3 linked regions of the Macaca mulatta genome follow. The protein of the gene in region 3 purifies or fractionates together with the protein of the main gene of each other region. This does not show direct contact. Links are inferred from orthologs where the notes say so. Each region holds a gene or a part of one and is shown on either strand. Other genes may lie near its edges.

The links. Proteins that work in one complex are often made in the same cells at the same time.
Region 1: the proteins of LGALS1 (region 3) and FN1 purify together in Homo sapiens (affinity purification with mass spectrometry; 3 studies listed by BioGRID and IntAct, with this or other methods). This does not show direct contact. The link is inferred for Macaca mulatta from reciprocal best matches to the Homo sapiens genes LGALS1 and FN1.
Region 2: the proteins of LGALS1 (region 3) and MET purify together in Homo sapiens (affinity purification with mass spectrometry; 3 studies listed by BioGRID and IntAct, with this or other methods). This does not show direct contact. The link is inferred for Macaca mulatta from reciprocal best matches to the Homo sapiens genes LGALS1 and MET.

The regions. Positions count from the first base shown.
Region 1 is NC_133417.1:120,612,001-120,615,651, forward strand, and holds part of FN1 (fibronectin), read right to left. Parts: intron 3,495-3,651; coding exon 3,366-3,494; intron 3,266-3,365; coding exon 3,176-3,265; intron 2,385-3,175; coding exon 2,190-2,384; intron 1,564-2,189; coding exon 1,291-1,563; intron 1-1,290. UniProt on the Homo sapiens protein: Fibronectins bind cell surfaces and various compounds including collagen, fibrin, heparin, DNA, and actin. Fibronectins are involved in cell adhesion, cell motility, opsonization, wound healing, and maintenance of cell shape.
Region 2 is NC_133408.1:156,310,838-156,314,488, reverse strand, and holds part of MET (hepatocyte growth factor receptor), read right to left. Parts: intron 1,485-3,651; coding exon 1,266-1,484; intron 1-1,265. UniProt on the Homo sapiens protein: Receptor tyrosine kinase that transduces signals from the extracellular matrix into the cytoplasm by binding to hepatocyte growth factor/HGF ligand. Regulates many physiological processes including proliferation, scattering, morphogenesis and survival.
Region 3 is NC_133415.1:13,851,809-13,855,559, forward strand, and holds the start of LGALS1 (galectin-1), read right to left. Parts: upstream 2,694-3,751; 5' UTR 2,634-2,693; coding exon 2,625-2,633; intron 1,353-2,624; coding exon 1,273-1,352; intron 1-1,272. UniProt on the Homo sapiens protein: Lectin that binds beta-galactoside and a wide array of complex carbohydrates. Plays a role in regulating apoptosis, cell proliferation and cell differentiation. Inhibits CD45 protein phosphatase activity and therefore the dephosphorylation of Lyn kinase.

The DNA of each region.
Region 1 (3,651 bases), on a different chromosome or scaffold from region 3:
GTTACATTAAAGCAATGGTATTTTTAAAAAGGCAAAACAAACACTTCTGAACTTCACAGGTTGCTCTGAGCCAAACAGATTAAGGAAAAAGGGATATGCCTCCTAAAATGACAGCAAGAAGAAGCTCTCTATGGGTCAGAAGCAATATTCTGTGAAGAGTCCCTGCTAGAGAAATAAAAGTTATTTTCACATGGTTCAGATTAGACAGTAATTACAGTAATGATAACATATCCTCAGATTCATGGTAGGATACTGGTGAGTTTGCACTATCAGAATCACATAAGTTGTGGAGTTTATTCTTAAGAATAATAACCAGCAGTTTTCCCACCGAAATTTAAATTACATTTCAAATAGAGGAAATATTTAAGAGGCAGTCAAGTATAATAATTCAGAGCATGGGCTTTGGACATAGGTTATAGAGCCAGCTCTATCCATTCCTATCTCTGTGACCCTACAAGTTCCAGAATTTTTTTAAAGCCTCAGTTTCTTTATGTATTCAATATGGATACTAGTAAGACCTTCCAGCTGGGCACGATGGCTCATGCCTGTAATCCTAGCACTTTGGGAGGCCAAGGTGGGTGGATCACTTGAGGTCAGGAGTTTGAGACCAGCCTGGCCAACATAGTGAAACCTGTTTCTACTAAAAATACAAAAATTAGCAGGGCATGGTAGCGCATGCCTGTAGTCCCAGCTACTTGGGAGGCTGAGGCAAGAGAATCGCTTGAACCCAGGAGGTGGAGGTTGCAGTGAGCTGAGACTGCGCCACTACTGTCCAGCCCTGGCGACAGAGCGAGACTCCATCTCAAAAAAATAAAAAATAATAATAATAATAAGACCTTCCTTCCTAAGGTCAAAACAGAGAGTAAATATGAGAATAATGCTTGTAAAAACTGAGCAGATAAGCTGGTGGCTAGTAATACTAGATACTTGACAATTGCTATTCTTAAATGAATTCTACTGTGTTACGATCCTGCATTTTAACTTTGATCTAGATATATTTAGTTACAGGAAAAATGCACTCAAATTAGATTCTCTTCAGTTCTCCCTCTTAGTACCCTTCAGCTGATACATGTATTTTAGAAATGGGTTACCACTTAGCCTCATGGAGCTTGTTTGAGTTTTGTTTTCAAGTTTAATGTGCTTTGTGTTCACTATGCATTCCCTTGCCAGCTGGGTATTTCCCTCTCTCTAAGCCATACACCTCTGAGTCAATGGTTTGCTGCACTTCCTCACGGGCTGGAAGTGAGGGTGGAGAATTTGGAGGGGAGGTAAAGATAGGAAAAGACATACTGGTTGTCTGTTCGGCAGTCAGAGGCTTGCTCTCCCTCCCGTGGTTCACGGCAAAGACTTTGAAGTAATAGGTGACCCCAGGGGACAGCCCGGTGACTTCTGCGAAGGTGTTCCTGCTGATGGGCAACCTCTGCCCGTGCTCCCCAGGCAGGTTGACGGGGATCACATCCACGCGGTAGCCGGTCACTGCACTCTCAGGCGGTGTCCACATGATGGTGACCTTCACGTCTGTCACTTCCACAAACTGCAGGTCCCTGGGAGAGGGCACTGTATCTGACAGACAAGAGTCAACCAGTCATTCACATTTTCTGCTGAAGATTATTTTTAAGAAGCCAGTTTCTCGGATATGATAGGCAGTTCACTGAGCCTCTCATTCGAGAGTTTTGCTAAGTTTTGTCTCTTAATCAGATCATATTTTCATGGCCCCGTCATAGTGCTTAAATTATGACATTTGAACCTTTTGTCTAAAATAGTTAGGTAATAAATGAGTTACCAGCATATGAAGTGTCATATGATGGTGAGGGGAGAGGATTATAAGAAAAGATACTAAAAAACAAAACAAAACAAACAAAAACCTTTGAAATAACTGCAGAAAATAATGTAATGGTTTTTGTTTTACTGAATCATTTTATAATACTTAAGAATCAAAGATGAAATGACCCTTGAGCTTCTGGGAGAAAATTTGTAGACGGACGTTATGGTGTTGGTTTTTAATAAGAAAGGCCAGTAGCCAGCTTTGATAAGTTACTTATGACATTTCAGCTAAACATCAGAAGTTTAGGGAAAAACTATTGCATAAGATTATTTGAATGTGGGAACTATTGACAGAGACAAAACCACCCCCCCTCAGGAACAATCTTGATAACATAACATAGGAAGTGTCTTCTTAAAAAAGTTACCTGAACGTGGGGTGCCAGTGGTTTCTTGTTGAATGAAAACAGGTGTACTTTCTTGATTTTCTTCCACGGCAAAGATAGTGATGTTATACTGAACGCCAGGTTGCAAGTCACTGAGGGTGACGGAGTTTGCAGTTTCAGGAAGGTTGAGTTCTGTGCTGCTGCCTTCTACTGACGGTGAATAGACTATTCTGTACCCTGCAGATGGATCAACAAAAGTTAAGATGCACTGTTTTCTTTGAGACCGAGGCTTAGAAACACCATAAATCCTCCCTTTTCGAATATTCCTTAGCATCTTGCTTGATTAGTGAAGAGCCAGTGATTCTTTTTGACTCTTTTAATATTGCCACTTCTTGTAATAATGACTACTCAGCACGAAGATAAAATAAGAACAGTCATGCAAACCTTGTTAATAATAAATGTCATCCTTGAAGACCTGAGATCCTTAATAAATGTCAATTAGAGATGCCATTAGGTGAAAATATTCATGTTAAGCTGATTTTTCCTCTTTGAGCTCCAGATGAGGGAAGCAATTAATGAACCAGCCTGAGCAGAGTTGTCTAGCACTGTGTGTGTCTTTTTGGAACTTCAGTGATGAGGCAGTTGAATCACCTAATGAGCTAAGAAGGCAGCTCAGCTTTCTCCTTAAGGATAAATCTTAGAGCAAGGTTTTCAGGAAAATTACACCTCTTCAACCCTGGGAACACTTGCTTTAATAAGCCAATGAGCTGGCTTTACAGGTTGTGTGTATGTTGTGGTGTGTGTGTATAAGGGAGTTGGTAAAATGGTTTCGAGGGGAAATGTGCCATAGAAAATAACTCCCCCCGACACACACACACACACACACACACACACACACACACACCTCTCTCCCATAAATTATATTGGAGATTTAAAGTGATATGCAGATCCACAGTCAGAATCTGCGCCCTCCCTGTTGATGTCATTAAGATTAACATAGCAGCCAAAGAGCGGGAGGCTCAGCTGACCTGTGATGGGAGCCTGGGGTCTGCTCCAGCGAACAACAATTGAGGTGTCATCAACTTGGTCCACAGTCGGGTCAGGAGGGGCATCGGGCGCTAAGAAAGAAAGAAAGTGGGGCAAACAGTCAGGAAGTGCTACTACAGGCCTGTGTTTTACAGAAAAAGATTCTTTTAACATTATGTAGCACACAGGTACCTGTTGTTTGTGAAGTAGACAGGATCAAACTCTGCTCCCCATCCTCAGATATCTCATAGACATTTACAATGTATTTTCGGCCAGGAAGCAGGTCAGGGATGTTCACGGAAGTGGCTGTGCTTGGAAGATCTTTGAAATGAAAAGACAAGGTAACTAATCGGAGCAAACTAGTCCCTCAAATGACTCTACAGCTTAGAAGAAGGATATTTTAAGAACTATATATTCATAGGGAAAAATGACTGAAGGTAATGTGCTAATAGATAATCAGTGATTATTATTTTTACGG
Region 2 (3,651 bases), on a different chromosome or scaffold from region 3:
AAATAGAGTTTCTCTGGGTGTAAAACTATTTGCACATAAACCTTTGTTATCATCAAGAAAAACCAATTGGAATCTTTCAAATGGCAAAAACAGTAATTGTTGAAAGCAAAAGGTCACACTAGATTAGTTTTATTGAAAAAAAAAAAGAAGTGATAAAAGCTTATTTCTCCCTTTCTAAAACTAATTAAAGAAGCAGATGAAAGGACTTTGCTGTTGTAAACACACTGTTCATTGAAGCGGGCTTCCATTCAATTTCATGCTGGGCTTGCTTAATTATCGTACAAAACACAATAATGAGGTTAGTAAACTTGTATGAGCGTGAACATATGCATAAGTTGGGCTGTAGTTAAATTTTTGTTGAAAAAGTCAGAAAAATTTTGATGGAAATATATTATTACTTAGATGGATATGTCCCATGAAAGCCTATATTGCACCCAAATAAAGACTATCCTATTGCTTTATGTTTGTTCATATTTGCATTCAGATCATCTTTCAAGAAAAAAAAATTTCTAAACGTTTTAACAACATGTTGAAGGATAAATATTTTGCTGTTTCTAGTGACTGCAGCTATGAATAATTCAAGTCTTGAGCATTTTGCCTGTGTTATTATTTGAAGTAGAAATAACTGAAGGGACATAAAAAAGCTGCACTCTAGTCTTTATTATTCTGCCACTCTTTTGTCACTTGTCAATCACTTAACCTTTCTGGGTCTTAGTGTTCTTTGTTTGCAACAGGCTTGCTTTAGAAAAGATGACCTGTTATTCTCTATTAAATTATATTTAGAAGCTAATATGTTCCTAAGGTGGCAGATATCTAGTTCCATTTACAAATTAGCTTAGAGATGACCACACCCAGATACAAAATTCCAAGTATAACAAGGAAGTACAGAGATACAATTGATGCATTTACTTTCACAGCTCTTATGTTTTATCTTATAATGAGCACATTTAGGTAAAATGTCCGGGGAAACGTATAACATCAGCAAGATAATGCAGCACAGGGATCCTCTTTAATGGATTTGTGTCCCACATTTGCTACGTTTTAATACATACACAAGAAAGGGTTTTTAAATGGTTCATTAAAATGCAGTCCACGGTTATTCTTATCTTTTAGTTTTATGCCAAAAAGATTTGTTTTTCAGAGCTTATATATTTGCTGGTGTTGCATAAGATACAACGGCCAAGTACAACAATTGTATTCACATAGCTATGAAGTCAATTAAGTTTGAGCTGATGATTTAAGACAGTGTTTAAAGCATTTCTTACCTTAATTTCCAGTACATTTTCATTGCCCATTGAGATCATTACTGGCTTTTCAAAAGGCTTAAACACAGGATTATGTACATAAATGAGATCAAAGTATTTGGAAAGGATCCCATCTAACATGAAAAAGGCTTTGGTTTTCAGAGGGAGTTGCAGATTCAGCTGTTGCAGGGAAGGAGTGGTACAGCAGATTATCTCTGAATTAGAGCGATGCTGACATGCCTAGAGAAAGACACAATTATCCACTGTAAACAGAATACGGCTTGGCAACATCCACAGCAACTTTATAATTCACCACTCCAATCAATTGAAAATATAGAGTTTTTGAAAAAAATCTGTATTTAGCTTCTTAATGTTAGACTACACATTTCTGGAAACACGATACATGCAAAATTATCCAAACAACCCAGCCTTCAGAGAAACACAGACCTCCACCTGCCCAGCATAAACCATGCTGATGAATCTGAAGCTGGCCCTCATCCCATCATTTTATTTTCCTTAAGAAGACAGGACAGTCACCTGGAGGAATTGCCCCTTGTTGTGTGAGGCAGGCAGGCAGACTGGGAGCTGGGCTTTGTGGGGTTAGAAGGCTTTGGCTCCTCTCCTAGCTTTAACCCAAGCTATGGGAACAGAGGCAGGGCCCACACTAAATAACTCAGTTTCCTCATTTAGGAATTAAGATGAAAATGCTATTTACCACGTAGGATACCACATGGTAAAGTGCTTTGTAAAGTGCCAAGCACCATATGGTGAACATGATAATTAACTATGTAGTTAGGTAATCTTATTAGTGTGTTTTAAGCTATTAATTATTGAATGATAGGTTTTGTGCAAAATGCTTTACAAGGTTGGTCTCATTTAATTCTCATGATAATCCTATCAGTGGGTATTATGATTATGCACAGTTTACAAATTAAGAAACTGAGCTTTGCAAACTTATGTCATTAGACCAGGTCACACAGCTTGGAGTGGCGGAATAGCGAATATAAATCCTAGGCCATTAACTCCAAAATTCAATGTCTTCGCTCCCATGCTATTTTTTTGTCCATGACATATTTTATATTGAAACCTTTTCCTATGCTCTCTATTTTACAAAGCCTCTGCTATTATTATTTCATGCCCTTTCATGTCTCATTTCAAATCTTCCTCTTTGGAATTCTGATTTATGGAATTTTGGAAAATGTAGCTTCCTCTTGATTGTACTTAGACTAAACCAGCAACACACAGTGGTACATCTAAGGTTAACAGTTGCGTTTTTCCCCCAAGGAAAAGACAAACAAGCAACAACATCCCTTAGATTTCCTTTTCTTTGACAAGTATAGTTGGGGATAAAACAATCACTTATGCCCACAATACAAAAAGGACTCAGGATATACATAAAAAGGACAAACAGAATTTGTTATTTGCTATTCTCTTTAAAAAATAATTAAAAAAAGATCTTACATTAAAAATGTTTATCAGCAGCAGATAAAACTTTTAGAGACATAATATGGATAAAATTTTATTATTGAGTTTTATATAAAATTAATATTATAATGCTAAAAGCTATTTATTCCTAATGGACATGAACAATTTTACTGCCATCACAATAATTGTTTACATAACAAGGAATCTGAGAACTACACAATAAACTGCAGGCTTCTGGGGCGTAATGCACACGTTAACAAATTAATATACATTTTTTTATGAAGATGATTGTTTTTGTTTTGAAAGGATTAGAGTTTATTGGACTTAAAGTTATTGTGGCTGGACCTATATATCTAAATCAGACCTGACCAAGAGTTTTTATTTGTTAAATAATAAATGGGTTCAATTCATCATGGTCAGCTTTAAATCCTATAAGTGGCAGGGAACATGGAAGGAATACATATCTCTTTATAAAGTAGTTTTCACAAACGACAGTAAAACAAATAGCAAATAGTAAAATAGATCCACTGCATTTTTCACTCTTGTCCGATTCTAATGCATACTTCTACTGTACTAACATGTTTGTGGCTAAAACAACAGAAGTTTATATTTCCAGAAAAATAAACAAATAAGATGTTTATTGTCTGCCATTGTTTGAATCATCCTTGGGATATGCAACTCTTATGTGTGACACCTAAAAAGTTTTTAATAAATATTTGATTACAAATGAATGACTGAAGCTAAGAGGCATTCTGCGTGTCACCTTAATGCTAGTGAGGGAGAAGAAAGGAAATTCAGTCATTATCTTAATAATGTACGCTCAGCATTAATTCGATAAACTAATAATTTCTCAGATTTCTACTTTAAAAGGTCTCATACCAACACCAAAGAGGGTTACTGTTATTCTTATTTGGTTAATGAAAAATTGTTATGCTTAGTTGTGGAGAACTGATGTCCTTTAAATTAATAGCAGTGGTACTCT
Region 3 (3,751 bases):
CTCTGGCCCTGACAGCTGCTTACGGTGTGAACGTGAGCTAGTCCCTGCCCCTCCTTGCCTGTTTGCTCATCTGTACAATGGGGGCTGCACAGGAGGACTTGCTAGATTCTTGAAGTCACTAGCGTCCTAGCCCTTTTGGTCAAGGTCAGAGACTTCCTCCAGATGGCAACTTCACGTCCTGTCTTGTACATCTGTGTTCCTGGTGCCCAGCACAAGTGGGGCACACCAGAAGGAGATGCTTAGTAATTATGGGGTGAATTAACAAATAATAATACTCCTGGGCACGGTGGCTCACTCCTGTAACCCCAGCACTTTGGGAGGCCGAGGTGGGCAGATCATGAGGTCAGGGGTTCGAGACCAGCCTGGCCAACATGGTGAACCCCCATCTCTACTAAAAGTACAAAAAGTAGCTGGGCGTGGTGGTAGGCACCTGTAGTCCCAGCTACTCGGGAGGCTGAGGCAGGAGAATCGTTTGAACCCAGGAGATGGAGGTTGTGGTGAGCCGAGATCAAGCCATTGCACTCCAGCCTGGAGGACAGGGTGAGACTCCGTCTCAAAAAATAAAATAATAAATGCATTTGTTTAGTGGTGATAATAGCTATACCTGCCTCTGAGGGTTTGGTTGCAATGAAATTAGTGCATGAGAAGTGTACGGCTCTTAACAATATCAGCTCTTAACAATATCAGCCGATCCTCACCCTCCTCATCATCACTACACCATCGGCATCTCACTTCCTCCACACAACCACCTCCCCCCCCTTGTTTTTCTAACAAAATGAGGCTAGGTGAGGTTGGTTGACTGGTCCAAGGTCACATAGCTGCTGAGAAAATAAGGCAGCCGGCTGAGTGAACGAGGAGTGAAGGAAGAAGGACAGGACTGAGCCAGTGAATGAATGACCTGACGCAGGAGGGAGGGACTCAGAGGGAAGGCGGCGGTGACTCCCGCCTCACTCTTCTCCCCGCCCTCCCCAGATGCAGGCCCCGCCCAGACCGGAAAGGGGTGGGGGCGGGGGAACCAAGGTATTATAGATGACGAGGCTGCAGCTGTTGTAGTTTAAGAGGCTACAGCAGGGAGGGAGCGGGGGAGGGGGCGGCAATGGTGGGGGCGCCCAGACCCCGCGGGGGAAGTGAGTCACCCAGAAAGCGCAGCAACGTCGGCCGGCCGTTAACCCACTCTCGGCCAGGGAGGAGACGTGGACTTGGCCGGCCACGCCCTCTCGGCTGGACCAAGCCCCCATCCCTGCCGCCCACCACCCTGACTTCACCTCTCACCTCTTGGCGTCGGGGGCCACCTCGCCCCGCACTCGGAGGCACTCTCCAGGTTTGAGATTCAGGTTGCTGGCGACCAGACCCTGCACAGACAAGCCCCGGCCCAGCAGGTTAGAGGACAAGGCCTCCACTACCCGAAGTGTCCGGGGGTGGCTGGGGGTGGGAGTGGGGTTGTTCCCGCCCGGCATCCTCTGACCAAGCCAAGGGGAAGCCTGGGGACAGGATGGGGCTGTGATTTCTAGCCTCTGATTCTCTGTGTGGTCCTGGAAAAGTCCCTATTCCCAACAGGGTTGGCTTCAATCTGTAATGTGAATCAGGTTCTAGAAGACAGGCTCTAGAAGATTTTGCAGATTGGCCTGGGGATTTTGAACTCAAGAGTGGCTTGGGAGGTGGGGTGCTCTGTCCCATCGCAGATAGAGAGGATCAGGCTGGGGAGGGGCAGGCAGTTGGCCCACAGTCACACTGAATGCAGGGGTCGACCCCTCTGCTGGAGAGGAAGTGGCTAGGGGGACACTACTATTCTCCTTCAAGCTCCTCTCTGCGAAGAGGCCCAGGGGCTAGAGAGGAGACCCTGAAGAACACGGCCCCTCTGCATTAGGGAGTGGCCTGCAGTCGGGCTGTGGCCAGGCTGGTTCAGGGTTAACAAGATTGAGAAAACTGCTGCGCACTGCTGCTCCCTGGCACCCCGAGTGGGTGGGCAAGAGTTAACTGATTTGAGTGGTTTCTTCTGTCAGAAACTTGAACCCTTTCCCTGGGGCCCGAGGAAGATTCTCACCTCCCTGCCACCCCAACCTCCCAGCTTGGGGGTGGTGGAAGGGAATTTCCCCGGCTCCCCTCCCTCCCACCAGCCTGGACACAACCACCCTCCACCCCCGACCTAGAAAGGCCCATCCTGGGCAGCCTGTCTCGGGTCCTGGCGACTTTTCAGCGTATTCTGGAGCAGAGGGTGACTCTGCCCGGGCCTGGTGACTGGGACAGCTGCAGGGGGGAGGGGACGGGAGGCTTTTTGGGGTGGAGGAGGGGGAAAGATATAGTGGCCTGGGTGTCCCCCAGTTGGCCACACCCTTCCCACGCTCACTACTCAGAGAGCTGCAGAATGTCAACCCTGGGCAGAAATAACTGTGCTTTCAGACCCTGGAGGAATCCAAACAATTATCAATGCAGAGAAGGCCTTGAGGGACCATGGCGCCCACCCCAATTTTACAGATGTGGCTACTGAGGTCTAGAAAAGAGAAGGCAGTGGTTCCAGGCCACACAGCTGGGGCTAGAACCCTGCTCCCGATCTGCCCAGCTCTCCTCCGGCCATCAGCTCCTGCCCTATCCCCTGGACCTTGGGGTGGGGTCCCCACACTCACACAAGCCATGATTGAGGCCAGGAGGATGTTGCCAGGAGAGGCGCACCAGCTGTTAGAAGACTCCACCCGAGAGAGATGGGCCCCCGGACGCTCCCACCCTTTTAACGGGACCGGACCGGGTGAGCCCCGCCCCCTGGAAGTTCAGCCAATTGCAAGTCAGGACAGGGCTGGGGGCCACCGAGGGCGGAGTCCGTGGAATTTTGAAGCCAGTTCTGGAGCAGAGGTGACCAATCAGAGTGGCCATCTGCCGCCCCCCCACGAGGGTCCAAGCTCCACCTCCTATTCTTCATCCCTCTCCACCTCCCCCTGCCCCGCCACCACCGAAATTGTGCTGTGGCAGAGATTGGGGGAAGCCAATGGAAAATAGTTTGATGATGAGCTAGGCCCACGAGTTGGCGGGAAGGGGCCTGTGGCCAGCAGGCTGAGCTCAGGGGGTGCCCAGAGAAGATGGCTGAGGAGGTGCAGGGTCCTTCAAGGAATCAGAGCTGGGAGAGACCAGGCCACTCCAGGGCAGGGACCAGGGCGTGGCTCCTGCGTGCGCGTCTGCAGAGGGCCACCGACTTAAACCACAGGCCCTGGCGCCACCCGGGCCTTCCCCGGAAGCAAGGACTGCGGCTGCTGCAGCGCTTGCTCGCTCCTAGCTAAGGCTAAGGAAAGGCTGGGCTGCACGCCAAGCCTTAGGTTGCAGGGCTTGGCTAAGTCCTCGGGCTTGGCCCCCTTCAGGGGCATGCAGGGGATAGTCAAAGCGCCCTGGCCTGACAGCCTCTGGCCTGAGTGTCAAGCTGGGGAGATGGCCCAGGGTGGTCCAGGCCAGGAGGGGGTGGGGTCCTAGCTCTGTGCACCTGTCAGGCCTCTGAGCCCAAGCCAAACCATCGCATCCCCTGTGACTTGCACGTATGCCCAGATGGCCTGAAGTAACTGAAGAATCACAAAAGAAGTGCAAATGCCCTGCCTTGCAGTAACTGATGACATTCTACCACAAAAGAAGTGAAAATGGCCAGCCCTTGCCTTAAGCAATTATATTATCTTGTGAAGTTCCTTTTCCTGGCTCATCCTGGCTCAAAAAGCTCCCCCACTGAGCACCTTGTGACCCCCACTCCTGCCTGCCAGAGAACAACACCCCTTTT